Linked DNA regions of Drosophila melanogaster. The protein of the gene in region 1 purifies or fractionates together with the protein of each later gene. This does not show direct contact. Each region holds a gene or a part of one and is shown on either strand. Other genes may lie near its edges.

Region 1 (14,927 bases):
GTGAGTGTGTGTGTGTGCTGGCATTAACAAACTTCCCATAAAGCAATAGTAAATGTTTACTAATCAGGTTTTTAGGTTTTTCTGTACTTGGTGTTTTTGTAATACTGCAACCCACAATCGTCATACATGTGTGTGTGTGTGTGTGTGCTTTGTTGGAAAAGATGAAAGCTTCACTTCATAGAGCTCCACCGTGTTGTTGTTTGTGGTAATGGTGTTGCCTCCAAAAAAGCTTTCCCGCTGTGATGTGCTGTTGTTGTTGTTGCTGTTTCTTTTATGCGATGAAATTGTTACACTGAAATTCGCTGGCCTGTGCAATTGTGTCGTTGTGCACAGGCAGAAAAATGTGGCATCATGCCATGCTATTATGTATAATAATAACATGCAGGTGAATGTGCCATTCAAATTTGGATGGATCATTTACATGTGGATGAAAATGGTAGGCTTAATACATCAAATTCAGCTTTTGTAAGGTTGAAGAGCTGTTAAGTAAACTACTTTCTAGCCAAAAAAAAAGATGCAAATAATAGAAGTCGTTTGAAAATAATGTAAAATGTGTAACATCGAGCTGCCCTTTCTTTCTGTGTAGTTGACTGTATCTGTGTAAGGTCTGTCGCGTTTGCGTGGAAGTGTAGTGCAGCGGGGCTTTTGTAAGTGTGTGCGTTTGCTGGGGGGCCACCATTATTGTATTGTGCAAGAGCATGGCTTGTAAGCTCTTTTCGGCTGCGCGAGTGTGAGTGAGTGTCTGCATGGCACCACGAAAAGTAATAAACCAAAAAGCGAAGCTAAAGTTCAGCAGCAGCAGCAGATCTCGAAAACGGAAAAAACGAAAAACTTCGGAAAGATAGTCTTGCTTTTTGTTACGCTCTGCTGCTTCTCCCCACCAATCCCCGCTCCAGCCCCCTGGCTCCACCACTCCTTTAGCATGGAGACGAACGAAACGTTCACTTTCAATAAAACTTGAATGACTGGCTTGGCGGAGAGCAAGAGAATGGAAATGGGAATGTTGTATTTGGCTTGGGAATGGCAAGCGAAAGCTGAGCATGGATCTTTTATTTTTCGCTTTTTGCACTGCCACTGAAGAGAGGGCGGGGGAGAGCAGGGGCAGGAAAGGGGGGATCTGGTGTGCTCATTCTAACGCTAGATAAATTCCAAAGCGGTATTGACGGAACATACATATGTATATATGCATGTATCTATGAGTGTGTGTGCTTGTATACTTAATGCTTCCACGAATCAGGGCCATTCACTTTCTACAAGTTTCTCGGCGGATTTCGCAATCGAATCTGAATTTGCTTACGAGCAGAGCATGACTAAAGATCGTTACAGCATTTAAGGCAATCAAAAGGTGAAAGTTCATGGTAATAATTCCTTAAATGGAAGACGCTAGGGATCCGTACGTATGTATGTGTTTGTGTATTTCCCAACATTTCTCCGCTCTCTTCGCGAGACTCACACATTCGCACGCACACTTTTGCAAACTGGAAATGAGAATGAAAGGGACAAGGCGGACATGGAGGAGGGTCGAGGGGAGGGCGATACGAAAACAAAACGCGCTAACTCACAATGCGCGCATAAAATCACCTTTCACAAAAAGCTTTTCTCCTCTCTATGCTGTGTATGTGTGTCTGTATGTCCAACGATCGGGGTATAAGCTAAACAACGAAACACACATAGCGACATACAGACGGAGAACGCAATCGTTTGTATATTTCCACACTTTCCGATTTTTGTCGTCGTCATCGTTCCCATGTAATGTAAATGTAGTTTTACAATTACTCTTTCCCCTGCGCATTGTGGTGTCGGTGTATGGGTTTGTTGGTGTGTGAGTGTGCAGATTGCGTGAGTGTTTACGAATGTAAAGCACATGTGTCTATTTCCAAGTGGAAGAGAATGGCAAGGGAACGGAAGCGGGAGCGGGGGGTGAAGAGGGAAGGGGGAACTGGAAATCGAAATGGAACTGGAATCGCACGGATCTTATCCGATCGAAGGCCTCAAAAGAGAAAGCTACGCGGGGTTTTGAAAGTATTATAAGCTCGCGCAAAGGTAAAATGTTAAAGGGAGCGGAGCGCGCGTTCAAACTCGTTTTCCTGCCCTCTCTGTCTCTGTCGCTCCATCGCATCGCATTCTCTTCCTTTCCCGCTCTCTCCCGCGCTGCCACTGCCCCTTTCCCCATTCCCCTTTCACGAAAGCTCTTTGACTTGCTGATCCGAAAAGAAGCGAGGGAAAATGGCAAAGAGTCGCCGTCGCCGTCGTTGTCTTCTTTCGTACTTGTTGTAAATGCTACACTCGTAAAAGTGACCCAAATTTGAATTGCATAACTCCATAAGCTGGGCGATACGGAGAAAGATAGGAAAGGGGCCCGTGAGGGGTTTGCAATGCGCTAGTTTCGTAGACGCCGTCAACGGATCTACGTTTTAAAATATGTATTTGCCAGATAAGGCGAACAGAACGGGGAAATCAAAGATCTCCTCACAATAGCCTTTCCAAGTTCCCCCACCCCCTCCCACGACCCGTTAAACTAAAATCCCCCTCACGCTGAGAAACCCACGCCCGTGGCTTTGCTAACAGCATATTTTGTAACATCTGCGCGATCGTGTAACCGCATGCATGTGTGTGTGTGATTGAGTGTCTGTGCTTTTTCACCTTCACTCTTATTGGAAAGCAGTTAAGTTGGTCGAGTGCGTGCGCCAATGTACGTACATATGTACGCAGATATGTGTCTTCAAATTCCATGACATGCATACGAGCGCACCAATACACGGACGGTATTACGCAGACAAAAGCACGCGATGAAGGTCACTAAGCCTTTCTTGTCTCCAGTTGTTGTTGTTCCTCTGGGTTCAGTTGTTGTTGCAGTGCTAATGATGTTCATGACGACGAAGATTGGATCGCCACGAACCGAAGCTTCGAGGCAAAGTTTTGGATACGATACCATACGATACGATGCGATGCGATCCAAACCGAGCTTGGAATGTTTTCAGTTTTCTGCTTTTCTGTTTTCTGTTTTCTCTACCACTATTAAGTTAGTTTCTGACCTTGGCTGCTTTGTGTGCTTAGGTGCACAAAGAGCCACAAGCCACACACACGTATCGCAGACCCAAAACCCCAACCCCGACTTTTATCTATCTCAGCGATGTTGCAATGCCCAAAGATGATGAAAATCTCGGGGAAAAGCTTGCTGCCGAACGGCAGACTTACCTCTTTCATTAAGTTGGATGTTCAGCAGTTGGTTAATCCCAGGATGAATATAGTCACTGCTATTCACTTGCGCACTTTCTGTTCTGATCGCCTAATCCCTGCGATCGGCCATTTACTGCTGGCTGCTTGCTTAGTGGAAACTTTCGATTTCATTGACCATGGTTTGTTTATATTTTCACAGGAGCAGATTTTAAAATTTCTCTTTGGCTTTTCCTGCTGCCTCTTCTGCTTTTTATGCGACGCAACGCAAGAAATATCCACCAACACACTGGTAACGCTCGCACAAGCACACACACACTCACTAAAGTTCACTACAACGGCACAACTACAACTACAACGTCAACATTAACTTTAACTAGGTTGAAGTTTTGTTTTTTCTTTTTGTTTTATTGCGAAATAAAAAACTTGATTGGTAAAACTTTTTCTGGCGCGAGCGCGACTGCGAGTGGGAGCGGTACGGAGAATCCGATCTCTTGCCTCTCTCTCGATTTTCGATTTCAGCTTCTGCTTTTGCTTTTGCCTTGCTTTGCTTCGCTCTGTTTGTGCTTACACTTTCAGTTTGCGCGCGCGCACGTCCGTTCACTCGGAGCCTTTTTTTTTGACTGTGCGGGATCGGGAAAGAAATTACGATCGCTGCGGCGCGCTGCTCGGTCGATGTATCGATACCGATATCGATAACAGAAAAGCATTCTCTAAGTCTCCTAAGCTACCTTGTAATTTATTATTTATGTTCCAATCATGATTTAGTTTAATATTAGCTAAAATGTAAAAAGACACAATCAATAAAAATACCATTTATATTATCGATAAAAACAGCAATAAGATCTGTATTGGCTTTTTAGATTTCCATTTGGCGTATCTTTCGTTATTTCACAAGATTAAGATTCACGTCCAACATGAAGAACTTAACTGTAACAAGCTTACGCTTTTGGGCTGACCTTATAGAGGCTCGCGATTTTGACGATTCAGACCCAACGTCGCGTAGACAAATGGCGCTGATGATCAAGAAGTTAGCGGAGAACATTTTAAAATCCGCGCCCACAGTACCAACACCACCATCCCCATCCAGCCCATCGCCGAACGAAAGCAATATTTGAGTGAAGCTCCATTGCCACTGACGTGTCCTGGTCCTGGTTCTGATGACTTCCTACTGGTGGCGTCACCTCCACAGCCCACCGACCAGCAACAACAACAATAACGGTTCCTTACAGTGATCCAGCGATCACGGAGATCATTTCACCTGTTAATATACTTTGTTCACCCACTGTAACTGTCTCTCGCGGAGGCGGAGCTTTGGACATTTCCCGACAAAATGTGAGCTTTCGATTATGTTCTACAACTGAAATAAAAAACTTGTTTAAACTTAAATAAAAAATATATAAATAAAAAGGGTAGAAAATCTCAATGCTCAATTTGCATCTGTACAAACGTAGACATTAATTTTACTGGCATGCTAAAGAAATTTCACCTTGATCCCCAATAAGCCGTCATCCTTCCATTATTTGCTTCCTTTGTAAGTCCTTTACGATCGCTCATTTGAAATGCACACGCCGCCTACATTTGCATCCTACCCTTTGCTATCCCATTATAGGAAACCATTAAATTCGTCCTTGAACCTAATTTGTGCCGTTAGCAATAAAAGCAATCAGTGAAACGAATTTGTATGCAAATCATTGAGAAACTAACAATGGTTCCAAAACGACCTGCATTTTATTCATAATCTATTTAAAGTTTAAATTTAGAAATTTGGATGTACATCTAATATGTAAGATTATACAGTACTGCAAGAGTGGCCTTTGGAAGTAATCCTTTCTTTCGCCCATTTGCATACAGCTAGTTGCCTGCTACAGTTATCACTTGCATTGCGGTTCAAGGACATGGTTAATGGTCTTCCATTGTGGGAAAGGGTATACAGACTGTAGGTGACGAATGAGAGCGCAGATGGACATCGTAAACAGCACGCTTAATAGGATAATCAAGATCAAGGTCATTGGAGAAATCTATTCCTTTATGGGACTCCCAGATTGCGTTGCATACATTTGAATGAAGGTGAATGGTGTAGGAATAGTAAACGATTCTCAGAAGCTAAAAAATTTAGAACTGTATATTCAAATATAACCAAGAAATATATCTAAAGTTGGAAATGAAGATCTACCGAATTTTACAAGCTGTCATGCTTTATGATCTACGAGTAAGATCCTCAGAAAGGGTATTTACAGTTCGAAAGCTTTTCATGCATCAGCTTTCGATAACCGATAGTTCGCCGCGATCCGGCGTTCATGTTCATCACTAGCCAAACAGCTGCAGTCGCAACAACGAGAAAAGCGAGAAAAGAAATCAGAAAACTTTCGCAAGATGAGCCTTCAAAATGTCTGCCGCAAGGGTAACGCCTTCAACCTGTTGAATGTCGCCAGGAAAGGTGAGTTAATAGTGCGGGTGTTGCAGTATGCCCCATTCCAAACACGGGCTGCACCAGTTGGACTTTGGCTCTGATAATTCATAACGATTTGTGGCAGCAGCAGCCGATTGAATCTGAAAGGGCCAAAGTCCAAACTCGAATTCGCAGTGACGTCTTGCGGGACAAAGATAATGTATGGGTACATCATGATTAAAAATAACGCGAAACGAGAGTGCTAAGGATAATCCCGAATCCGGAACCCTTTTTCAGTTCAATGCCGCGCTCTATCGGCCGCTGTGGCGAATCCACAACCGAAGCAGAAGAACAGCCAGAATATCGTGCTCGTGGATGGAGTCCGCACACCCTTTCTGACCTCCGGAACCACCTACTCCAAGCTGATGCCCCATGAACTGGCCAGGCACTCGCTTTTGTAGGTTTACAATCCCCAATATCCTTGGAGTATTAGCTTACCCCGCCCCATTCAACAGGTCATTGCTGCAAAAGAACCGCCTGGACAAGGAGCTCATCGACTACATCGTGTACGGCAGCGTCATCCAGGAGGTGAAGACCTCCAACATTGCCAGGGAGGCAGCCTTGGCAGCTGGATTCAGCAACAAGACACCTGCCCACACCGTCACCATGGCCTGCATCAGTTCCAATGCGGTAAGAGCCTCGCCCAAAGTTCCTCGGAGCTTGAATCTATAGCCCATGTATTACAGGCCATCACCACGGGCATGGGTCTGATAGCCACCAACACCTACGATGTCATCGTTGCCGGCGGCGTGGAGTTCATGTCCGATGTGCCCATTCGCCACTCCCGCAAGATGCGCTCCCTGCTCCTGAAAGCCAACAAGGCAAAGACCCTGGGCCAGCGGCTGGCCCTGCTGTCCACCTTCAGGCCAGACTTCCTGGCCCCCGAGCTGCCCGCCGTTGCGGAGTTCTCCTCCGGCGAGACCATGGGACACTCGGCCGATCGCTTGGCATCCGCCTTCAACGTATCCCGGAGCGAGCAGGACGAGTACGCCCTGCGATCCCACACACTGGCCAAGGAGGCCCAGGAGAAGGGCTACTTCACCGATCTGGTTCCCTTCAAGGTGTCCGGCGTGGACCAGATCGTGGACAAGGACAACGGCATCCGCGTGTCTAGTCCCGAGAGCCTGGCAAAGCTGAGGCCCGCCTTTGTGAAGCCCTACGGCACTGTGACAGCAGCCAACGCCTCCTTCCTCACGGACGGAGCTTCTGCTTGCATTATCATGACCGAGGAGAAGGCCAAGCAGCTGGGCCTCAAGCCCAAGGCCTATCTGCGCGACTTCCTGTTCGTGTCGCAGGATCCCGTCAACCAGCTGCTGCTGGGACCCGCCTACGGAATTCCCAAGCTGCTCAAGAAGGCTGGACTCACGCTGAAGGACATTGACTCGTGGGAGATCCACGAGGCGTTCGCCGGACAGATCGTGGCCAATCTGAAGGCCCTGGACTCCGACTGGTTCTGCAAGACTTACTTGGGCCTGAACGAGAAGGTCGGCACTCCCGACCTGTCCAAGTGGAACAACTGGGGCGGTTCTCTGTCCATCGGCCACCCCTTCGCCGCCACAGGAGTCCGCCTCTGCATGCACACCGCCAACCGCCTGGTGCGCGAGGATGGCAAGTTGGGCGTGGTCGCCGCCTGCGCGGCCGGTGGACAGGGCGTGGCTATGCTCATTGAGCGCTATCCGGGCGCCACAGCCGACTGAAATCGCCAATTAATCGACAAGGAGGAGAGTGCAGTTTAACTGCGAGATTGCTAGCTTTTATACACCTTACAACTACGTCTATACGAATAAAGAAATCTGAATTTTACAAAACAGTTTAATTTCTAACAGAGCACCAGCCTTTCAAACAATCATTAGATGTGTCTAACTAATCCTATTCGGTCTCGTAGAGCTCCTTCTTCCGCAGCTTCGCTTGCAGAATGTCGTTCTCGTTGTAGGACAGGTGCAGCGGGGGTATCAGGGCGCAGGCCACCATTCGGTTCTCGGCATTCAGGAAGTTGAAGGTGGCACATGCCTGCAAAGAGTGCCATTCAATATGGATATAGATCGGGGAGTGATTAATACCTACCTGCTCCGTGCGCAGGATCTCTACGTTTATCTTGTACTTCTTCATGAACTCGATGATCCTCTTGGAAAGAGCTGGGGGCGGTGCTTGGTCGCCAATGCCAATGATAAGCACGTCGATCTTTGGCTCCAGGGTGGGGAAGAGACTGAGGCTGTCCTCGTTGATGTCCTCAAAGCTGTTGACGTTCCAGGACAGAACCGATCTGTAAGTAGTAAAACATAAAATTAAACTTTAGCTTCAGATAGTAACTTATGACATATTAATACTTATAAACAATATCACTATTAAAAGCCATCGAAAGCTTATAACTTAAACAAATAGAGGCTATAAGGTAAGAAGTTATTGAAATAATTAAAATTTAAATTAGCATTCAAAAAGCCTTTAACAACTATTGGTAGTTTTTACATCAACATTTTTTTGTATGAAACTTTAAATGAAGAAGTCATTCTCTTTGACTTTTCCCAATAAATCCTTGACTTCTGTTTAATAAACTCAAAGGCGTGCATAACTAAGCTTGGGATTGGGATTGTATGATCATCAGAGTGCCATGGCATAAATCACATGCACTTGTTTACATAATTGGGTGAGCCAATGCATCCGTCGAAGGCCACCTACCTGGGAAACACGGAGATGGGGCCAATGAGGACCATGTCGTTGTTGAGCCGGAAGCCGTACTGGCTGTAGCCGGTGACCATAAGGCCCAGATCCGTTTCGGTGTTGAAGATGGTGACTTTGGTCTTCCCGTCGTGGTCGTAGGCCTTGCTGAAGTTGGCCGGAATAGCGTGAAGTGGGCGACAGGCGGTGATGCGCGGTAGCAGAAGGTTGCGACCTTGCCGGCCCACCGTTCGCAGGGTGCGCGCAATCATGGTCTTGTGTTAGAAAAGTAATTAATGGCTATTACAACAATTTAAAACTATCAAAATAGACTGAAGTTGAAAAGTTTAACCGGTTAGAGTGACCGGAGGTGCCCAAAGCGCGCGGGCCGAATGTTATCGATAGCGCTGGATTCCTCGCTGGTGCACGATATTTTGCGCGACGCTGGCCACACTGGTCGGCCATTAATTTACGAAATTTACGAACAATTAACATAAACTTTTACATTTATCCGTGTGTTTTAGCAATAACTATCTATCTATGTGCTATTGTTGACTACGTCTAAGTGCCACAGTGTCTGCAGGCTGCAACTCCAACAAGTTGCTCGCATTACCCCATCGCAGTAATAAATACTGCAATGTTTTGATACAGTCTATATTCGTTTTCAATGATTCAGCAAGGCGGTGAGTGCCAATTCCCCCAACGCAATGGCCGCAGCTATCACCCATATCACCTATATCACTTCGATCGCCAATTCCAGCCCATAAATGGTTCCATTACCATATGCCCACTTATCAGGGAGCACCCCTCCACCAACACACGCACGCCCAATGAGTGTGTGTGTGTGTGCTGTGTGTGTGATGGATTGCTGCGTGCACGCACACTCCTGCAGCCAATTAGAAGCCCCGTTAATCGGCATTGGCAGTTAAAAGGTTACTAATAGCGCCTATAATTCCCAGTGCCTCGCCAAAAGCTTCCGCAAATACCTGCAGATAGTGGAACAGATAGTGCGCTGCTTCGGCTGGGCGGGCTGAGGTGGGGTGTGTGTGTGTATGTGTGGGTGCCCAAGTGGGCTGATTTAGTCATCCAGTACCAGTAACTGACCATATTGCTCTATTCTCCCCGCCTCTTTCGTCACTGCGGTCGCTCCCCAAAGTGTCAAAAATTCCTTCGATAAGAACGCATTGCCAGTGGTTAGTTGTTAGCTTTCACTCTTTGATAGCTGAGCATTATTATGATCGCATATACGATTTCAGAATTTCAGAAGGGGATTTCAAAACCCTGCATGTTGCTTGCCAAACTTTTTATGCCGTGCGCGGCTTATCTTGACAACTACTTCGCTTCGATAAACCATATTGATCAGCTTCACTTCTTTCCGCCCCACAGCTGCGCCCTGAAATCAGCCCGATAAGAACTTAGTGTTAAGCGCTACCTCAAAGTGTCACCATGATCGGACCCAGTTCGCAGATCAGCAAGATCCTGCTCACCCTGCTGTTCCTGCTGATCATCTTCTACGTTTTCATGGACGTGGAGCTCTACCTGCGCATCCACAACTATGCCATCGAGAGGAACTATCACACGAATGTCTCGCTGCCCGCCTCCGTCGTGGGTCCGTCCACCTCGGAGTCCGGGTCCGGCAGCATCGGTGGTAGCAGCAGCAGCAGCAGCAGCAGTAGCAGCAGCACCAGTACGAAACTACCCACCGCCGGCGACCGGCAGCCGTCCTACGAGGACCACACCTGGATATCCTGTGATATAAATCCGCTTTGCCATGTGACCGTGAAGGCCATTCTGTTGGACCACACCAACCACTACCTGTTCGCCCCGCTGGCCACCATGTTCGACAACGTGATCGGCTTCTCGCGCTCCACCTTCATCACGCCCAACATGATATCGTTTTTCCATGTGGGCGTGGCCTGTCTGGCGGGCAAACTGGTGGCCTCGGACAGCCTGGGCTATCGGCGGCTGGGCGTGCTGCTCTTCCAGATCCGCACCTTCCTGGACGACCTGGACGGGCATGTGGCGCGCGTGCGCAAGCACATACGCGGCGAGCGCTCGGAGATCGGCACCTCCGGCTACTATGTGGACGGCCTGTGCGACGGACTCGGCTGCATTGCGCTGCTGCTGGGCATATTCTTTTACCTGAAGAACAATCCACCGCGGAGGGGCTACTCGATCATACCCATGAGCGACTCCAAGCTGCCGGAGCCCACCATGATGATACCGAAGATGAAGGCCACCACGCGCAAGGTGGCCAAGAACGTGATCAGCTTCACGGGCCAGCTGCTGCTGAGCTCGACGGCGTGGAATCGCTACATTGCCGTCTACCAGAACATGCTGGAGCGCGAGGACGTGAGCGGCAACCAGTCGCATTGCCAGGATTACGTGTTCAAGTCGACCTGGTTCTTCTGCGTCGCCTGGATGTGGCGCATCGTCAACGTGCACGCCCTGCTGCACTGCGTCCTGCTGAGCATCTTCTGCGACAAGCTGTGGGACTTCCTGCGCGCGATCCGGTACAGCGGTTACATTATCCTGTTAGTTGCTATATGTTTAACTGAAATGCACATTCTGGAGGCCCAGAACTACATTTTCAACTCTACGGCGTGCAGTAATATTTCACTGTGATTTTACTAATATTACGAGAAAATACAATAATATTTGTGTAGTGCAAATCAGCGATGCCTTTTTTAATTGTGTATAAATAATAATGTATCATAATTGTTAGCCAATCATTAATATTTCGAAACCAACTAATGCATTTTGTCATTCAAGCGCGGTCTGCAAGAGCAATCGAAACTCCTTCAGCTGTAAATAATAAATGTTATTGATTAATAAAGTCTAGCTGTTTTTATCGTACGCATTTCCATGGCGAGCTAATTTCGTTTGAATTTATTTATAATGTTTTGTGTTTCGAAATTTCAAATGAACACGATGCGCAATGCTGCCAAGTTTTTTTTTGGTATAGCTGATGGGCAGCACTGCAAGGTTTGGTATTTTATTCGACAGTACCAAATGCCAATATAATTGCCATATTGTAATGTAATATATTGCTTAGATATTCATAGTGGCAATCAACGCTCATATAGTTTAATAAAGAGGCTATTAAAATTTATGTGACAATGCACTGTTTTAACTAAAAATAATACACTTTTAGTATATCTACCCGCCGGCTGGTATTTCTCACTAGCCCTGTTCGGCCACACTGCGCATACGTCAGGCGATACATACAAAGGAAAAGAAAATCAAAACGGAAAGCGAGAAGAAATGCTTCACTCGTCGTTTGAAAATTTGTTAAGCTGTCAATTGTAAATATTACCTGATTCCTATTTCGCACCGATTGAAAGTGGTTGTGCATCGAAGCGTGTGTTGTGTCAAGAACCGAGCGTGGAACGTACAGTGAATACCTGATTTTGCCTGGGTGTGAATCGAATTCGTGTGAGAGAGCGTGCGATCTGAGATCTGGGATCAGAAATCTATATCTACTTGCCATACGCAGTCAGAAATTACAGCAACCAACTAATCCCTGTCAATAGTGTAAGAATTGTTGTGTAACCAACCATCTTTTAGGACCGCCAAACTGCCTCCGTCTACACATTATGTCCTCCCCTCGACGATTGCGTTTGTGTGCGTGTGTGTGTGTGCCACACACTTGCACTCACACACAGACGACAGGATTGGATATTTTCAATTTATGTGGCTTTCATTCATTGATTTTCCAATTCCTGCCGCGATTCCACACTCACAAACGTCAGTTTACTCGTATTAAGTGGGTGAAATATCTGTTTTCTTGAGTAGTTCAAAACATATACATATGTATGCCATACATCGTAAACTTGGGATTGGGTATTCTTCTTTTGTTTATTAACTAAATGTACGTAGAATAGGCATTTAGCCGATGGTGGGACATAAGTAGCGTCTGATTCAGAGAATTTTTAACTAATAATAACGTAAAGAAACGCCTAAACATGAACACTAATAATATATGAATATGTTTGTAATACTTACTAAAATTATATCATCGAAATTACAAGAGATAGAAACATTGTTTATTTGTCGTTTTTAGTAGATTGACCTAGTGTAGGATCCTTTTTGTTTTGGCTTGGTCCCACGAGCAATGTGTGTATAGAGTGGTTCGGGGCAACCTTTTTGTGTTGAATATTGTACCTTGGGATGCATCTGAATAGAACGGATGAACTGAGTGAGTGCATTCATGAATGCAGCGATGCAGAATATGTGGGATGCTTCCGTTGACTGAATGACATGGTGGATCATTTCTAGAGCGAAGTGTGAGCCCCTGCGGCGATAGAGTTCTTTAATCCCCTCCTCGTTTCTAGCAGCCTTCTAGGAAATGGATTTCGTTCAAGTGTCGGAGGAGGAGGGCGACGAGCCCATCGAGCTGCCGGCTGAGGAGGATGGCACTCTGCTTCTGTCCACACTGCAAGCTCAGTTCCCTGGATCCTGCGGTCTGAAGTACCGCAACCTGGACACGAAGGCTGTGCGCGGAGTTCGCTCCAACGAGGGCAGACTGTTTCCGCCCAGCGTGGAGTCCGGCTGGGGCGAGTACGCTTACTTTTGCGTCTTTCCCAAGGGTAAATTCGAGTTGTATGACTCCCTGTTGAACCTTAAATAATTCTGTAATCCCCCCCTGCAGAGAACAAGCGCAAGAGCGACGATAACTTGGAGAACTCAACTGCCAAGACCAAACGCATCGAGACCCGTCTGCGCTGCACTGATCTCATCGTGCTCGGCTTGCCGTGGAAGACCACAGAGGAGAGCTTGCGTGAGTACTTCGAGACCTACGGCGAGGTGCTGATGGCCCAGATCAAGAAGGACACCAAGTCGGGCCAGTCCAAGGGCTTCGGTTTCGTGCGCTTCGGCTCTTACGATGCCCAGATGCGCGTGCTCACCAATCGCCATCTGATCGACGGTCGCTGGTGCGAGGTTAAGGTGCCCAACTCGAAGGTAAGTCCTCTTGTTAGCCCTGCAATTTCACGCCTACTAATCCTTCTATTCTCATAGGGCATGGGCCACCAGGTGCCTTGCAAGGTGTTCGTGGGCCGCTGCACCGAGGACATTAACTCGGACGACTTGCGCGAGTATTTCTCCAAGTTTGGCGAAGTCACTGATGTGTTCATTCCCCGGCCCTTCAGGGCCTTTAGCTTTGTAACCTTCCTTGATCCCGACGTGGCACAGTCCCTGTGCGGAGAGGATCACATTATCAAGGGTGAGTCACTGCCGCGTGGAGAAGAATCAGGGAATTAATGAGACACTTTCCACAGGCGTTTCGGTCCATGTGTCGAATGCTGCTCCAAAGGCCGAGCAGAACAGAAACCAACAGGTCCAGAGCTACAACTACAACTCTGCCAACAGCTTTGGCATGCACTCATACCACCCACAGGGTAACCACATGAATCCGGGCCGCAACGGACACCACCGAGGTAATAACCAACACAATGCTCACGGCGGTGAGAACGCAATTGTGCCCAATAATCACAACATTGGCACCGCCGGCTACGGCATGGGTGGCAACAATTACGGCGGCAACTCGGGCGGGGGCTACCACAACAATGGCGGCAATCACTCCAGTGGCGGGAACACGAACCGCCAGGACGGCGGCAGCCAGTACAACAGTCGCCAGTCGAATTTTCACGGAATGAACCAGCCGCATAACGGCAACGTGGGCGGCAGCAACGGCTGGATGAACCGTGGCCACCTGGACATGCCCAACCTGCAGGCCCTGGGCATCAACTCGCAGGGATCGAGCTCCTCCAACCAGGGCCAAAACATGAGCAACCAGTCAATGCTCAATCTCAACTCATTGCCCATCAATCCCGCACTGGTCGCTGCCGCCTTGAACCAGTGGAGCCTGGTCGGCAACCAGCTGCAGAACCAAAACCAGGACCAACAGGCAAGCCTTCACACCTCAATCATTGTTTCAAACAAAAAACTCTCTCACTTGCTCCGCAGGGCGGCAATTTTCTATCTTGGATGGCTCAGAACGGGGGCCACAACAATGCCAACAACTTTGGTGGACGGAAGGGGCCGAATAACCCGAACAACAATCCGGCCGCCAACGGAATAAAGACCGACAACTCGGAGCCACAGGTTAGAGTCAAAACTGAAACCATCCCCTAAGAAACCTGGATCCCAGCCAGAATCTATTCTACTCTATTCCAGAATGGGAACACCGGTTGGTCGAACCAGAGCAGCGGATCTCAAAACGCCGCGGAGAAGTCAAACTTTCTTTAAGGCGGTGCCTGTCACCCAATGATGTGGTTAATGTGGTTAACCAACACCTCTGTAGCTTACTTAAATTTACATATATGTATTCCACATACAAACCAGTTAAGAATTGTATTTAATATGTAATAGATATTTTGATAATTGTAAACAAGATGACACTGGATGGCTAATAACACAATTGATAAAACACACTTCAAAATAAATTCTGCGCCAAAGCTCAGTAAAAATTGTATCATTGTATCACTTAAGTAGAATTTGATTTGTATTTTGTTGTTTATTAAATATATTTTGGCTTACGCTAAGAAAGTTTAGTTATAAAGATTGTGCACTTATAATGCTGGATCTGCGGAGAATTTCCAATATAACAAAGTTTTCTTTAAGATATCTAAACGAATTTGGC
Region 2 (16,147 bases), on another chromosome or scaffold:
TTAAACGGTTTACCCCCTGTCAGAGGCCACTCAAAAATTTGGTTATTGTTTCTGATCTTTTTTCAAGCCGATTATAAATAATTAAAAGTATAAAAAAAAAAAAAAAACGGTCGCCCGAGGGAAGGGGTTGCAAGTAGTCACTACGGGCAAAGAGTACTCGACCCTAATGGGGGTTTGATATCGACCATAAACAAAACGCCCATTAGTTGTCATGTTGGATGGAAAGTGTGCCGCTGACGCGTGCGACCTTCAAGGATATTCGCACACTCGCCAAGCTGCAGGAGAAATGAGAAATGAGGAATGACTTTGTTTCAAAGGATATTTGCATACATAATTCGAGTGCGGCTGCGCCGAACCCTTGCCCAAATGAAAACATTTAAAATGTTTTGATTTCATTTATGTTAATTTCCAGCCATAAATCACAACCGACCGTGTGCTTCCTGTCGCATCCTGCAACAATATTTGTCCTTGCTGTTTGATTAGCCCTTAGCCCGAACCCTCACTCGCATGCAAATGAGAACTCTGTGGAGTCGCTGGCTTTGCTGCTCATTTGGTGTTATCCTTGGGTGCCGAGGGGAGGAATCGGAGATCGCAAAGGTATTATGCAAATTAACTGATGCTGATCCCATTGTTGCCGGTGTAATTCAATATTCGCGTGAATAAGTGCGCGAATATAGGATATCTAATCTGAGGTTTCGCAAATTCACATTTGCAATTCCAGAGACTAATTTCGAATGCAAATGCTATACGGTGGCAATTTGTTAATGCAGATTTTCGCAAACTAATGAAACTCAAATAGAGGTCTCAATTTATGGTTAGATGCCATATATGGTTATATTCAAAATATAATTATCCTATGTAGTATTACATTTATTTATTTAAAATCAGTTTAAAATTTGCAAAATTTGTAAAATACATTATTGTAGCTTTGTGGATAATGGTTCTTCTGCCAATTGTTATCCATTTGATAAGCCCGCTGATTGGAAAAGGTCAGGTCACTTATGCAGCCATCTACCAGCATTTGACTGACGGACTTTTGCAGTTGACATAAACCGACGAACTCAAGTGTGACTTTTTTGACTCTTCACACATCATAGACGGATCAGCGGAGAAATCAAGACCGCAGCTGCAGCTTCGGGGAAAAACGATTAACTATTTACTTTATAGTACACGCCACATGAAACGCCTGCGTCAAAGGCCACAAAGGCGTGTTGCCACAATAAAGCGCCTGGCGAAATCTCATCCGAACCTATTTAGCAGTGGCCACTTGAAAGGACAATGGCATCGCATCAAATGAGGCGCGCTTAATGTGGCTTCAATGAGTCCTGGACTCGAACTCGGAGATCCGAGGAAGCGACCTGAAAAATGCGAGTGACATGCGTGTCCCGCAAATTGTGCGGCCTGTTAATGGTTCGACCTCGAGTTGTGGGGTGGGTCAGCGTGACAGATTCCCAAAAACAATGTCGTTGAAATATTGTATTGTAAACCGGGTCGAGTTATTGTAAAACTCTGGTATTATATACGATTTATAATTTTGTGTTCTCTTAAAAAAATGAAAGATAACAATAAAAAGGTGATCTACAGAAATCGCTTAAACTAAAAATTACTTGCAGTCTAAAACAAGTACGAAATTATGTTTTATGCGTAAAACATAATAGAATGCCCATATATATATACATTTCTTCATTTTTCTTTTTTGTACTTTTCTTTTATACTTTAAAATTAAAAGTTGCTACAATAGTAACACTAGTTATGATCTCCTGCGCCACCTAGTTAAAAAAAAAACGACACTAGCGACACCTGGTGGATGAGTTTGTACTGTGTGCGGTATTTAGGCTAGTGCTAAAATTTAGAAAATACTTATGGTAGTATATTTTATTGGTACGAACGCGGTCACACTGGGGATGTGCAACAAGTAGAAATTGCCGCATAGTTTTTTATAGCGAATCGCGAACACATAACTAACGGTGCATGATCAAAGTTCGTTAAAAATTAAAACAAATAGTTATCGTAAGCAAAAAGTGACTATCTTATAAGATCGAACTGAGAGCAATGTCGGCAACGAGGTTTTTGAGTGCCGTTGGCCAAATTTCGCGACAGCAATTGCTGCAGAATAAGTGCACCAGAGGTGGGTTAATTAGAAGTTCTGCTATGAAAAGGGAAAGTGCAAATTGCAGGCCATAATTCTTCTACATTGGAATTTGGCCCCTTGGAAATGGGCAGTACTCTAGCGGTATCTCTGTCTCTCTCCCGTTCCCGTGTTAGCTGAATCTCCCCCGATGCCGCATAACTGGACTTTGAACTTTGTACTCTCCCTTGACGTATAGCTTCTGTCTCTCGCTTTCTGATTTCCGATTTCGAGTGCCGTGAGATAATGTGCACTAATCGCAAACAACAATCTCTTAACCCCACGCAGCCCTGCCCATTTCGGCCCAGCTTCTCCAGAGGCGCCGCCTAATGTCCACGAATCCCGCACCGGTTGCCAACAAGCATCTCCACACCAAGGTGGTCAATGGAGTGCTTGTGATCAAGATCGACTCACCCAATGCCAAGGTGAATTCCCTGGGCTCCGAAGTGAGCGATGAGTTCGAGCGAGTGATTAAGGACCTGGAGACGAATCCTGCCGTCAATTCCGCCGTGCTGATCTCGGGCAAACCGGGCTGCTTTGTGGCCGGAGCCGACATCGGGATGCTGGAAGCATGCCAGACGGCGGAGGAGGCCACGCTGATCTCCCACGGCGCCCAGGTGATGTTCGATCGCATGGAGCGCAGCAAGAAGCCCATTGTGGCCGCCATCAGCGGAGTCTGTCTGGGTGGTGGTCTGGAACTCGCCCTTGCCTGCCATTACCGCATTGCCACCAAGGACAGCAAGACCAAACTGGGTCTGCCCGAGGTCATGCTGGGTCTCCTGCCCGGCGGCGGTGGCACCGTCCGCCTGCCCAAGCTTACATCCGTGCCCACGGCTCTGGATATGGAGCTGACAGGCAAACAGGTGCGCGCCGATCGCGCCAAACGACTGGGCATCGTGGATCTGTTGGTGGATCCCCTAGGTCCTGGACTCCAGCCTGCTGAGCAAAACACTATCGAGTACCTGGAGAAGACCGCCGTGCAGGTCGCCAACGATCTGGCTAGTGGTAAACTTCGCGTAAGAAATACTAGTTAATCCCTTAAAGTCTTCATCATTAATTTGTTTTCCACCGTATCCACACAGGTAAATCGCGAGAAAAGCGGTCTCGTCAGCAAGATCCAGTCCTTCGTCATGGACACCGACTTTGTGAAGAACAAGATTTTCGACACTGCCAGGAAACAGGTGCTCAAGGCCTCGAACGGTCTCTATCCCGCTCCTCTGAAGGTTCGATATTGAACAAGCAATTCTCATATTTGTAAGTAACCTATAACTTCAAACAGATTCTCGATGTGATCCGTGCTGGCGTGGATAAGGGAACCGATGCCGGTTACGAGGCGGAGCGCAAGGGCTTCGGCGAGCTATCGGCCACGCCCGAGTCGAAGGGTTTGATTGCCCTGTTCCGTGGACAAACGGAGTGCAAGAAGAACCGATTTGGCAAGCCAGAGCGTCCGGTTAAGACTGTGGGTGTGCTGGGAGCTGGTCTGATGGGCGCCGGTATTGTACAGGTCTCCGTCGATAAGGGATATCAGGTGGTGATGAAGGATGCCACCGAAGCCGGCCTGGCTCGTGGTATTGGACAAGTGCAGAAGGGTTTGGAGACGGCTGTGAAGCGCAAGCGAATCTCTGCACTGGAGCGCGATCAGACTCTTGCCAGTCTGCGGCCCACTCTTGATTACAGCGACTTCAAGAACGCAGACATCATCATCGAAGCTGTTTTCGAGGACATCAAGGTTAAGCATCGAGTGATCAAGGAGCTGGAAGCAGTGGTTCCAGAGCACTGCGTCATTGCCACCAACACCAGCGCCATTCCCATCACCAAGATTGCTGCTGGAAGCTCGCGTCCCGAGAAGGTTGTTGGCATGCACTACTTCTCGCCCGTGGACAAGATGCAGCTGCTGGAAATCATCACTCACCCAGGAACCTCCAAGGACACCATCGCACAGGCCGTGGCCGTCGGTCTCAAGCAAGGCAAGGTCGTTATCACTGTTGGTGACGGACCTGGCTTCTATACCACCCGCATCCTCTCCACCATGCTGTCGGAAGCCATCAGGTAGGTTTGCATTTTAAGATGACTAGTGAAATTGTTTATTATACTCCCATATTTTATGTCAGACTGCTGCAGGAAGGCGTGGACCCCAAGGATCTGGACCAATACACGAAGAAGTTTGGCTTCCCCGTGGGTGCTGCGACCCTTGCGGATGAGGTTGGCATTGACGTGGGTTCCCACATTGCCGTCGACTTGGCAAAGGCATTCGGCGAACGTTTCAGCGGTGGAAACTTGGAAGTAATGAATGATCTGGTCCTGGCTGGTTTCCTCGGACGCAAGTCCGGCAAGGGTATCTTCCTGTACGATGGCCAGAAGAGGGGCACTCGTCCAGTGAACAACGATGCTCTCGAAATCGTGAAACAAAAGTACGCTTTAGTCTCAAAGGGAGCCAATGCCCCCGAGGATCTGACGCTGCGTATGGTATCCCGCTTCATCAACGAAGCCGTGCTCTGTCTGGAGGAGAAGATTCTGGACAGTCCGCTGGAGGGCGATGTCGGAGCCGTGTTCGGCCTGGGCTTCCCGCCATTCTCCGGTGGTCCCTTCCGCTGGGTCGATCAGTATGGAGCCGGCAAACTGGTCAGCAAGATGCAATCCTATGCTGAGCTGTACGGAGCTCCCTTCAAGCCCGCTCAGACCCTGCTCGACATGGCTAAGGACCCGTCGAAGAAGTTCTACCCCAAGACTGGCTCCTCGAAGTTGTAGATCCGATCCAATCCGATCCCAGCCTCCGTAGAGCCGCTAACGAAATTTAGCTTTTAGTGCGAAGATAAGTCGTGTCCTTGTGCATTTCTCTCAGAAAGGAAACCTATTGTGGTCCATCGCTGCCTAAAAAATGGGGCAAGGCCCAATAAAAAGCCCTCTGTTGAAGTTGTCGACAATTAAATTAAAGTTTACCGTGTAATTTTCCATACTTTCATTTGTTTATTATTACACACAGCAGTTTGATATCGATCTATCTCTTTATCCCTCTTTGTTTACTCAAACGGAAATTCATTTGTACACAGATTCTATAGTTTAGGTTTCAATAGCAGCGTATATACAGTGTCCTTAAACTAACATATTTTCGAAGCAGCCATTTTCTAAAATCTTGAAATCTATTTTCACAATTCCTTAACTGCTACGTCAGAACTAAATGGCTTATAAGGAGACCTCATTACTTCTTGTTCGTTGAATGTGTTCGATTTCGGAATAGCTTTAAATGTATATATTAGTTGTTCATATATATATGTATATATTTGGTCATGCAAGTTCTTGCAGCTCTTTGTAAATGGACCATTCATAATGGTTGGTCAAAATCGAAACAATTCGCGGACTTGAAAGAATTGAAGGCCTTTGAAAACATACCCATCTTATTGAGTAGACACAACACATTAACAGTGAGCGGACTGAAGTAGCTCAGATTCGAATTAGTACCCATTCCAGCTTCAGATCCCCCTTAAGCTTCTAACTAAACTTATCCTATCCCTAGTTAAGGATTAGTGACTTTCCGATACACTTTCTATTCCTTTATTGTTTCCTCCAATCGCGTCCAGAGCTGCGCCTTTGATGCTTAACAGATCCCCCATTGCTGCTACCGCCACTTCCGTTGACTACGCCAGATACGCCTCCTCCGTTGCTGTGATCCTGGGCGGGATATCGGGTTACAACGTCGTCAATTAGCTCCAGAATGCCAATCTTGAACTTGCGACGTTGCTGTGGAGTGAGAGTCGCCAGATCTGGGAGAATGCTGCGGAAGAACTCCATGTCCGCCACTTCCGACGAACTCAGTCCGCCGTAAATACTTCCTGCATTCGTCATCGTGCTGGTGGCCTCGCATTCCGTCTTGATTCTTTTCGTGCTCCCCGGTTCGTAGGATGCTGGGTGATGATCCATGGACAATGTCAAAGGATGTGGATGCGAGTGCGGATGGTAGTGCAGAGGCGGTGGTGTGCCATGTCCACCATCGCTGTAGATGAGTTGCGAGCCCGTCTCGGCCAGCTGCACATCTGGAATGAAGTTTTTCATGCTATCCGCACTAGCGGTATCGCTTCTGGCCGGTGAATTGCCTCCGCCTCCTTGAAGGGCAGAACTGCGAGTGGGCGTGGACGAAGTACGATTCATACCCAGGGTGTTGGTAACCGCGGGATCAAAGGCGTCGATGGTCTCCTCATCGTCCTTCTCCGATATCGAGTACTTCATCTCCAAGACCTCCATACTCTCACCATTATGGACGTCGTTGTTATTATTATTATTATTGATGCTAGTGTTGGCGCAGTACTTGTGCTCCTCGGTCGCATGGAGTGCTGGATGCAGGAGAAATGGTTGATGCTGCAAATGCTGCTGGGACATCTGGTACAGAGTGGCCAGACTGTTGTTCCCCTCCAAAGAGTTACGGCTGGACTTCAGGAAGGGCAGCAGGAACGCCATGTGCTCGGTCAGGTAGTATGGCTTGTGCTGCGGCTCCGATCCGGATTGCTGCTTTATGTAGCGGGATAGGCAGGCCCGAAGGTTTCGCCATCGCTCCTTGCAATGGATCACTAAAGATTATGAAAGTTCTGATTAATTTAAGGGATTAATGTTTTTCCTATTATTGCTTACCGCTTTCTCTTGTCTCCTTTGAAATAAGCACCCAAGCCTTTTCCTGATTATCCCTGTAAAAAGTTATTTAAATTAGTTAAGACTGAACGTACGGAACGATCTGGATCGTATCTTCTGGCAGCCGATGGACTCGCCACTCACCTGTTGCGGTACTCGGGCACCTTCTTGTCGTAGAGACACTTGTGGGTGCGCACCAGGTTGACGAAGCGGATGTTGAAGTCCTCGTCCGCCTGCATCACTCGGTTGGTGGATCCAATAGAGGCGCCTGCTGTTCCGGATCCCGAACCCGTTGGACTGTGGTGGTTGTAGGCGGTGGTGCCGTTGGAGGTTCGCTCCTCGTGCTCGCTGCTGTGGTTGTTGCTGCTGCTGCGGGTTGAGGTGGTCATATTCGTTGGCGGTATCGTCCCTCACAGAGCCACTAAAAGATACGTTTTAAATTTGAAGTCTATTTAGAGAAATGTTAAAATAAACAGCGATTACCAGGGGTTTGAACGGGTTTGCTGTCATGTTGCACGTTATGATCTCAAGAAATGGCAACTTCAAGTTAAGTTAGCCACTCCAATATTTGATTTTTAGACTTTCCTATCGATGTATGTATGTACCATACATACATATGTATTTATATACAATCCTATTTATTTTTGAGCTGGCAAACAAACAGAATTCTCAACGACTCTTTTTCAGCTTTTTTGCCTTTTCTGCTGGGGTTTTGTGTTCGGTTTCTTTTCGTTTTGTCGTGTTATTTGTTTGTGTGTTGGTTTCTGTTCAGTTCGGTTCAGTTGTGTTCTGTTCAGTTCTGTTCCGCTGTCTGTTGCTGCTGTCTCAGCAAACGAGGCATAGAGCTTTTCGCTCATATATATTTCGTGAAACTTAATAAAACATTGTTGTAGCCGTGGCCGTTGTTGTCGTTGTAGTTGTAGTTGTAGCTGTAGTTGCCATTATATTCAGTACAGTTTGGCTAGCTGGATAGGATAGGAAAGCATTGCGTTGCGTTGATGTTGACAACTCGGCGGCGAAACGACGACAGCCAGCAACTTTGTTTACTTTTCATATTATTATAGCCACAGCAGCGACAATGGCAGCGGCCATAAAAATAACAGGCAATCTGGCTGTTTGTGCTGCTTGTTTGTGTTTTTGTTGCCGTTTGTTTCTGTTGCTGTTGCTGCTGGCGTCGAAAGCTGAAAGCTTTTGTCTGCTTCACTGATAACAGCAACAACAGCACAACTAAAGCAGCAGCAACAAAACAACAGTAACAACAACAACAGAATGCTTCAGCAACAACAGCAACACTCTGCTGCAGCAGCAGCAATTCAGTGCAGCAAGCAATGTTGTGTTGCAATATCCGAAAACATGTTGGCCAAAACCAAATCCGCTGAATAGTCACGAATATGTGTGCGAGTACCCACCGCACTCACTGCTCACTACTTGCAAACGATTCGCTCTCGCACCTGCGACTACCTGTTTCGATTCTAATCAGCCCACTCCACCTGTCCATTCACTCGACTGCCTACCCTTTTGCCGTCAGCCCCTTTCTATCGCGGCGACACTTGGGCCGCTCTTAAATCTCCGACAGTTTTCCCGCCACTTTCAGCACCTTTTGGGCCCACCAGTTTTGCAAAGCGAAAAACGTGCGCACAGTGGGATGGAAGTAATCGAAAAAGGGCATTACCAAAAGTATATCAAGGAAAAATATAATAACAATTTCCACATTGCTTGGAAACCTATTAGATGGTATTTTATATGTATATATATATTTTTTGGACATCTGTAAGTAAATCTCTGGAAAATCGTAGGTAATAATTCCCTTCAACTATTAATCTTAATATCAGGTTCAGAGTCCAATAAGTTTTCTATTTTTTCGGACATAAAAAAGTAGCAAGAGAAAACTCTAGCACTCTAAGCTGAACCAAACAAAAAATTAATATTGCTTTCCATTTTCGTAACACTTTGGTCCCACTGTGCGCTGGCAGCATTGTTGTGTTCTTTGGCCAGTCATCATTATTATCAGCGAACATCATTATCAAGGCGAACGTTGCTCGCGTGTTTTGGCTCTGCCCGTTGTTGTTTTTGTTAATGTTATTGTTGGATTGCTGTGTGCGGTGTGGGCGGGGGGAAAATGGAATGGAATGGGAATGGCGACTGGAAGGGGCAGAAAAACAACTAACCTGGGCTATATGGCAATATTTATTGTATTACGTCTATTTAACATAAACATATCAGCATGAGCGCGTACTAATTCCTTGAGAAATGTTCATGTTTATCTATTAACAACGGGGCTCAGCAAAAAGTACAGCAACGTACAAATCGAAAAACACAGAATCAGCAACAGCCAAACACAAAACCCAACGGAAAACAAAAACAACAACAAAAAAAAAGAATTTATTTCTAAAGCTAACAAAACACAGAAAACTTGCAGAAATACCCGGCCCGCTCTTTGTTTCCCTCCACCAACAAAAATACATACAGTATATTGTATATTCCGTGGCCCAATGACAGCAACAACAACAATCGCAATAACTTTGTTAGATAGACAACAACAACAACAACAATACACACAATACACACACACATTCACAGGCAATCGCACACAAGGAAACAATATGGCATATAGAATTTTTCTTTCTGCTGCTTATCAGGCTGTTATTGTTGCTGTTGTTCCTAACTTGTGATGTTGTTCCAAGCAAAGAATTCATTACCTTTTGGTTGGTATTCGTCGTTGGATTACAGAAAAACTCCTGTTGCAGAGGCGATTTCAAAACGCAACAACTCCTTGCTCGCAGCGATTTCAAAACGACACGATGCACGGCACACAAATAAAACGGCGCCAAAAATATTTTTGTTGCTGCTGCTGCTGCAGCGACCGACGACTGACGTAACGTTCAAAAATGTTGAATTCGAAAACTCGCGGTCGAGTCGACGGTGCACGGCGCTCGGGAATCGGCGGCGGACTGTTGGATTGTTGGCAATGTCGTATGTTTCGCGTACCAAGCGACCAAGGCGACTAAGCACACAGAGAAAAACACACAGACACAGCCACAAATGCGACTGCTGCCCTGCGAGAGCGAGCGGTGCACTGAGAGAAATAGAGTTGTCACTTGGCAATTGTGAAATGTAATATAAAGATGTTTTAAATTGGTAATGTATTATTAGCCCCAAACTTAATTAAAGGGAAAAATATAAAATTATTTGCAGACTTTATTAATGATCCATGTAAGCGGTATTAATTTAATAGTTATGAGGTTCAAACAAGTACCAATTAAACACGTATTCCCTCAGTGTATCAACCAGTATCTATCGGCTACGTAGAACACTGAAGCAACAGCAACAACATGACACGAGTGGACGGCGAGCAAACAGAGAACAACGCACACTCTCCGCCGCACACACACAGATACTAACACGGACACACACCAATGCGCCAATACAAACACACACAGCTGGCTGCTCAACAGCAGGGAACTTTTTATTGTTGTTGCTGGCAACGAACAACAAATAAGACAAACAATGCACACGCACACGAATGACGAGTGTTTTCGAGTCGGAGAAACGGCAACTGCGCGGTACGAAATGCAAAGATACAGATACAATGAGTTGGTTGTCGGTTGTGGAGGGTAGGAAAGGGACACAGGCCAACAAAAATAGTTGCACTGCATCAAGAGTGTTGCCTGTCGTTAGAGGCTAGTCACCCACCCCGAAAGGATCTCTCAAAGGATCAGCGGACTACTAGGTAATCCTGATCGAAATCGATTGATTCAAATGGATTTTCAAAAGATATATCATGTTCAAGATCTTTTTGTTGGGCAATACAATTTTTACATATGTATGTTGATTGTTATGTTGAATATAACTTCAGGCTTATTATTACTGTCTAATGGTAATGTTTCTATTTATTTCCACGTCCATTAACATGTATAATTGGTTTTCCCCAAAATATGTTAGTGAACAGGTGACAGTCGCAAATAGAAAATACACATTTTTTACGCTGTAACTCTGACAAAAAAAATAAAACACAGGAACCCAAATAGTTTACCTGAAAACTTACCTGCGAATTTCCAGTGATCATAATTCCATTGTGCGCTTCTTCTTCTTCTTTGCTCTAACTCTCAGGGAACATTGAAACAACAACAGTTGCTTACTCAGCACCGCACACAAACATAAACTGCGCTCTCACGGACACTACAACAGCTGTCGCTCTCAGAACCAACAACAAAGCGAGCAAACAAAAATCATGTTGTTGTTGCTCACAAAGCTTTGCAATTTCTCTGCCGCTAACATCGCTGCTTTTGTGTAGTTGTTGCTGCCGCCCGAGTTGCCAACAAGCTTTCCAACAACATTTGTTTACATTTCAAATTTATTAGGCGAGCTTTTCGGACATTTGAACAAGCTTCGTGGGCTACTCGCTAGGTGGCGCATGCTACTTCCGGTATAGATTTGAACAGCTATTTTTTTTAATTTACTTCAGAAATAAAATAAGCATTTATGCATATTTAAATATAAATAGATAAATATACCTGTTTCAGTTTCGTTAGAATGCACAATTTACTCTTGACTAAATGACTTCCGAGCAAACAAAATATTTAAACAATATTGTTAATAAAAAATAAGAAATGATTACTTAAGCTCTTACGTTTCCCTCCAACGGTCATTTGATATGTCATTATCCAAACACTCATATTGTTATTCACACGCGAAAAGCTCGACAAAGCTCAAAAGGACTCACTCCTTAGGCCAAAACTGTCAGGGTTTATGTATTCCGCCTGACAGCAGACCACCAACCCAGTTATTTCCAGCACTTTAACGATTTGTTTACAACTTTGTTGCCCTGCAATTTACCGCTAGCATACGGACCTGCCAGCCAGCCCAGCTTTTCACCCCTTTCCGACCGCTTGGAAAAGCTTTTCTCGGCGGGCAGGATGTCTTGTCCTGCGTGTGCTCAAAAATTCAATAAAAAGGAGGCTCGTTTCTGTTGTGGCCTACATGCCACAGCAAGGACGAGCAATCGGTTACCGAGCCGAACGCGGCCCGAGGAAAACTTGGTCACCGGGTGGGTAATGGGAAATGGAAAAGGGCCGAAAATGGGGGCGGGTGGCGAAGCAAGGAGCAAGGAGAGAGCTTCCAAGTGCAGCGGAGCTCAGTTGCCATAGGACAGTCGAGGCGAGTGCTCGTCCTTGGTCGCAACGGGCTCCCGGAAAAGCGGTCCATCGGCTGTCGAGTGTCATTGTTTTGGTTACGCGACTGCCCCGCTAGTGTTGGTGACCATCTGTGTGCGCTTAAAAATATATTCGACATGAATTATTTACGCAAAACGAGTGCTGGAAAGTTTTGAAAAGTGCGGAGAACGAGTGCGGAGTTGAGTAAGCGGAAAGTTTTGACTCGAAGAACACTTTGTCTGACAATTTGCAGCGGCATCAAGGATGCAGTCTCCTTTGCACTGGGATGAAGAATGCATTTTCCGAAGCGCAGTATGTGACTCTTTCTCTTTTCAGTGAAAAACCCCCCTCCATTTTCGCGCTCTGTCGCTCTCTCTCTCTCTCCCGCTCGCTTCCTATTGTTTTTCTCAGAGTGTAGAGTTTCGATTTCGTTAGAAAATCGAAACAAAAGCGAACCAGGCTCTCGAGGAATTGTGGGAGTCGTTGCTGCGGCTACCTGTAGATGCCACATAAACACACACAGATACGAGCGCAAGGATGCGAGTGTGTGCGAGTCCTTGAACGAGGCTTTCGGTTGCCCACCCACATGCCACATCCGTATCCGTATCCATGTCCATGGCTGCCTTTCACTGCCCGCTTCCGACTCTAATTAACTTATGATTCAAGGTCCAATACGCTGCCACTGAAGGTTAAACATGACGACCCAGCGATTTTCGGTGGGGGTTTTTTCGTAAGAAACTTTTAAACAGCCCGCTGGCAGCTGTAATTGAGCGAATTCCGCGGAAGCTGCACTAAACTTTTACCAAGAATCGGCAGGAGTCAAGTTTTTGCCGCGACCTAACTCGAAAGTCGTGTAATGCGATAAAGTGGAAACTTAACCAGGGATCATCTAGTAGTTAAGCGCACACAAGTCGTAATTTTATTTGGCTGCCAGGACCCCAGAGACTCGTCGGCAATTAAGGCTGGCCAAACAATAAGCCACTGGGCGAAAACCCAAAAGGAACAAAAAAACAATTAACGTTCTAGAGTGGAAAACCCGCATTACGCATACGCCACGTCGGCAGTCTGGCAACTTTGAGGTGCGACCTCCGGGGGCTGTGGAAAAGTAGCGGGGGCGCCGGAAAAGCTCTTTCCCGCTGACCACCGGCGGTGCCATCATACTCTCTCACCTCCCCGAGAAAAATCCCGCCCCAAAAAATGCAGCAGAGAGCGGTTTCTTGCCGCTTTTTTTTTTTGTTTTTTGGCTGCTCCGCCGAAAAACATTTTCATTTCTCGCCTGAGCAGAAATTTCAATGATTTCCCTAGCTCAGTGTGAAACGAACCAACAACTCAAACGAAACGAACGCAAACGCGCGCGCGAGAAAAACAAACTAGAATAGAATAGAAGAAATTAACCTCTCCGCCGAAAAGGGAAAACCCCCAAAAAATATATAAAATAACACACGAAACGCTGAGGTCGGGGGCCCTAACCCAATGCTAACTGTAAACAATAATCGAACAAACGAATTTTTAAATTAACAGCGAATGAGTAATACCTGAGCGATTTATTAATCAGAAGCCGTGCGAGCAACAAAGAATCCACAAGTAGCTGGCCCACGGATAGATAAATAACTGCACAGATAATTGCTGGTACACGGTACTGGGCTCTATAAATAGCATCGAAATAATCGCGGAGACAATTGCAGGGCACTGGTGCAAAGTGAATGCGACTGAGTGCTGCCGGGCGGAACGCCGAGGATCTGTGAGTAGATAGAATAATATCCCCCAAAACCGCCGCATCCCGATCGCCTGGCTGCGAAATCGAAATAACAAACTTCAGTCACCTTGCGTTCTGCGTCACACACTCGGATACTTTGGGGAATGGGAGTCGTGTGGCATGGGTGTTTGCCTTCTCCATCCTCGCAACTACAGTAGAGCTTCCATGGCTTCAGCTGCACCTATTTCAAATGTCTGAGCCTATTTTGTATTGTAATTTAACTACACATGCTATTTATTTTCTGATCTTCCTGGTCAAATATGATATATTAATTAGTTTTTTAATTATCAATTCAAATTTTTATAGAGGTCATTAAATCTTCTAGTTCTCAGCACTTCTTCAATGGGATATTTATTTATATTTATTTAGCATAAAAGCTTTAAAGTGTACACTCAGTGTGAAGCTTCACTGTATTTGCCATTTGCCGTGTTGTTACTGCTGGTACTGGTACCACACGGCGTATGGGTGATGGCGAGCGGGCCAGCGGTTGGATGAGTGGTGCACACTTTTTATAGCCAGCAACAGTCACACAAGCCGCACAATCAAGCGCTCGTCTCGGTGTTTATGTCAATTTGAATTTTGCATGCGGCCAACAAACTTGAATGTGTCCTTTATGTTGGTGTTGTTGCTTGCGTTCTGAAATGTATCGGTAGGAAAAGGAGGTGTGGAAATGGGGGGGGGGTCGGTTTGGGGATACCGGAAGCTAACTAGAACTGCGCTTCATTGCAACTTTGTGTGCGACCTTTTGGTTTTGGAATGTGTGGGCAGTGGGCGGGGCACTTGTCGGGCGGAAACGGATATCCCGTGTGCTCTTTGCCTAGTTCGCCATCGCCGCCAAGCGCGTCTCCTGTTTGTCATTTCATCAACCTTCTTCTGGCTCCTAGCAGCTCCTCCTTCTGGTGTCCTTGCACATTTGCTGCGCAGGAAATTTTAAATCGAGTATGTGCCCACGGGTTGTCTGGTTGCATTTTGCTGTTTTTGCGGCTTTCTTGTTTGCTCTGCTTTCTGGGTGAGTCCTGATTTTTTTTCGGATTTCCCATCCTGTTGGCCACTGGGTCAGATTTGTTAGTTCACAAAGTTCACAACAGACGCAATAAAAGGAATTTTTAAAGCCACATTAAGATGGAACTGAAACTTTAAAGATTTTTCAAAAATTGTTTAAAAGTATAATTTTTCCGCATTTTTAAATGCTCGATATTTTTTGCAGTGTGTCGCGTTGGGTCGAAATGTATCTTCTACACGGCAGCAGAAAGAAGCCAATGCAAATAGCCTGTCGGGGGAACAGACCCACAACGTAGAAAAGAGGCGGACTGGGGGAATTGTTTCTCCGGTGGCTGGACTGCTCCTGTTGCATATCCCGTCTCCTGGACTCGTCCTGCCACTCGGTGGCTCGTGTGTCCTCCCCCGCTGGGCCTAGTTGCTCATTCTGGGCGGCACAACTTGCATATTTGCCAAGATTTATGTCTGCTGTCAGACACACGCACACTCATCCACACATGGACTTTATGTAACAGCTCCCAGGAGCAACCTAATTTCCGTTGCCGCTGCTGGTTAAACAAGTTTCAGCCACTCATTGCACATCCTGTGGCCCCTTGTGAACTTACCAATCGGTGTCGCCACGCAGCAGGATGCCGAACCTACTCCGGATTTCGGATTTTAAATTCCAAATTCTCGACTAGAGGAAAAATCTGTGAGTTCGCGTATCTGTGCCAAATGGTTGGCCTAACTGGCAGCATCCACGAGTGCGGTCCTTGCCTTCGAGTTTTAGTGTTATTGTTATGCCTAGTTGGTGTTGTAATCCTTCGGCCTTCACTCCCACCCACAGGCATAAATACATGCCGGTATTAGGGGCTGCTACATCCCATAAACACCTAACGTCGGTGCTGATGTCGATTGCTGTTGTCTCCCCCGACTTTTTGGCTTATCGCGGACATCCAGAAGCACCGGGGTTTAGGATGGCCACTGCCCTATCCGCACTTGAGGATAATAAATTAGGAATTCAAACTTTTCGTAACCAAATGCAAAGAACTCAGAATCAATTAAGTATAACAATCATAACAAGGTGTAAACTAATGATAGCTTTTAGTTGAGTGCCTTGTACCACCAATCGGATTCACCTTACTATAATTCATATTCAAATTTTCATAGACAATAGTCGGCGGGCACTATTGTTTCGCCCGATGGTGTAGATGTATCTCAGTGTGAGTGCGTCGGGCAATTTCCCTGCGTAAGAGTGTTGGTTGACTTCAAGCAGCCTCAAGTTGCTGTCGCTCGTTGTTCTCGTTATTCTTATTATGTCAACCACCCAACCACTCCCCCTCATAACTGCCATTTGCGTAAGTGTAAGTGCATAGTCGTGTATGAGTGTGTTAGGTGCATGTGTGTTGCTTCTCAATCCTTTTGTATTTGCCACAACAATGAACGTTGAACATACACACACACACGCGCAATGGATGGGGCAATGGCAATGTGAGTAAGGCAGACTCGCCA

Evidence for each region.
Region 2: the proteins of Mtpbeta (region 1) and Mtpalpha purify together in Drosophila melanogaster (affinity purification with mass spectrometry, with the first as the bait; one large-scale study listed by BioGRID). This does not show direct contact.

The regions. Positions count from the first base shown.
Region 1 is NT_033778.4:23,859,152-23,874,078, reverse strand, and holds Mtpbeta (mitochondrial trifunctional protein beta subunit), read left to right. Parts: upstream 1-5,475; 5' UTR 5,476-5,553; coding exon 5,554-5,617; intron 5,618-5,866; coding exon 5,867-6,026; intron 6,027-6,084; coding exon 6,085-6,259; intron 6,260-6,315; coding exon 6,316-7,326; 3' UTR 7,327-7,431; downstream 7,432-14,927. Other genes in the region: ken and barbie, read right to left, coding at 3,199-3,207; CG5569 (uncharacterized protein), read right to left, coding at 7,499-7,639, 7,694-7,892, 8,306-8,556; Cpes (ceramide phosphoethanolamine synthase), read left to right, coding at 9,731-10,909; TBPH (TAR DNA-binding protein-43 homolog), read left to right, coding at 12,633-12,873, 12,936-13,246, 13,304-13,508, 13,564-14,192, 14,252-14,389, 14,462-14,533.
Region 2 is NT_033779.5:9,562,499-9,578,645, reverse strand, and holds Mtpalpha (mitochondrial trifunctional protein alpha subunit), read left to right. Parts: upstream 1-1,876; 5' UTR 1,877-2,052; coding exon 2,053-2,128; intron 2,129-2,265; exon of another isoform or gene 2,266-2,416; coding exon 2,417-3,144; intron 3,145-3,210; coding exon 3,211-3,351; intron 3,352-3,407; coding exon 3,408-4,177; intron 4,178-4,239; coding exon 4,240-4,876; 3' UTR 4,877-5,073; downstream 5,074-16,147. Other genes in the region: brwl (brickwall), read right to left, coding at 5,681-6,690, 6,752-6,804, 6,893-7,137.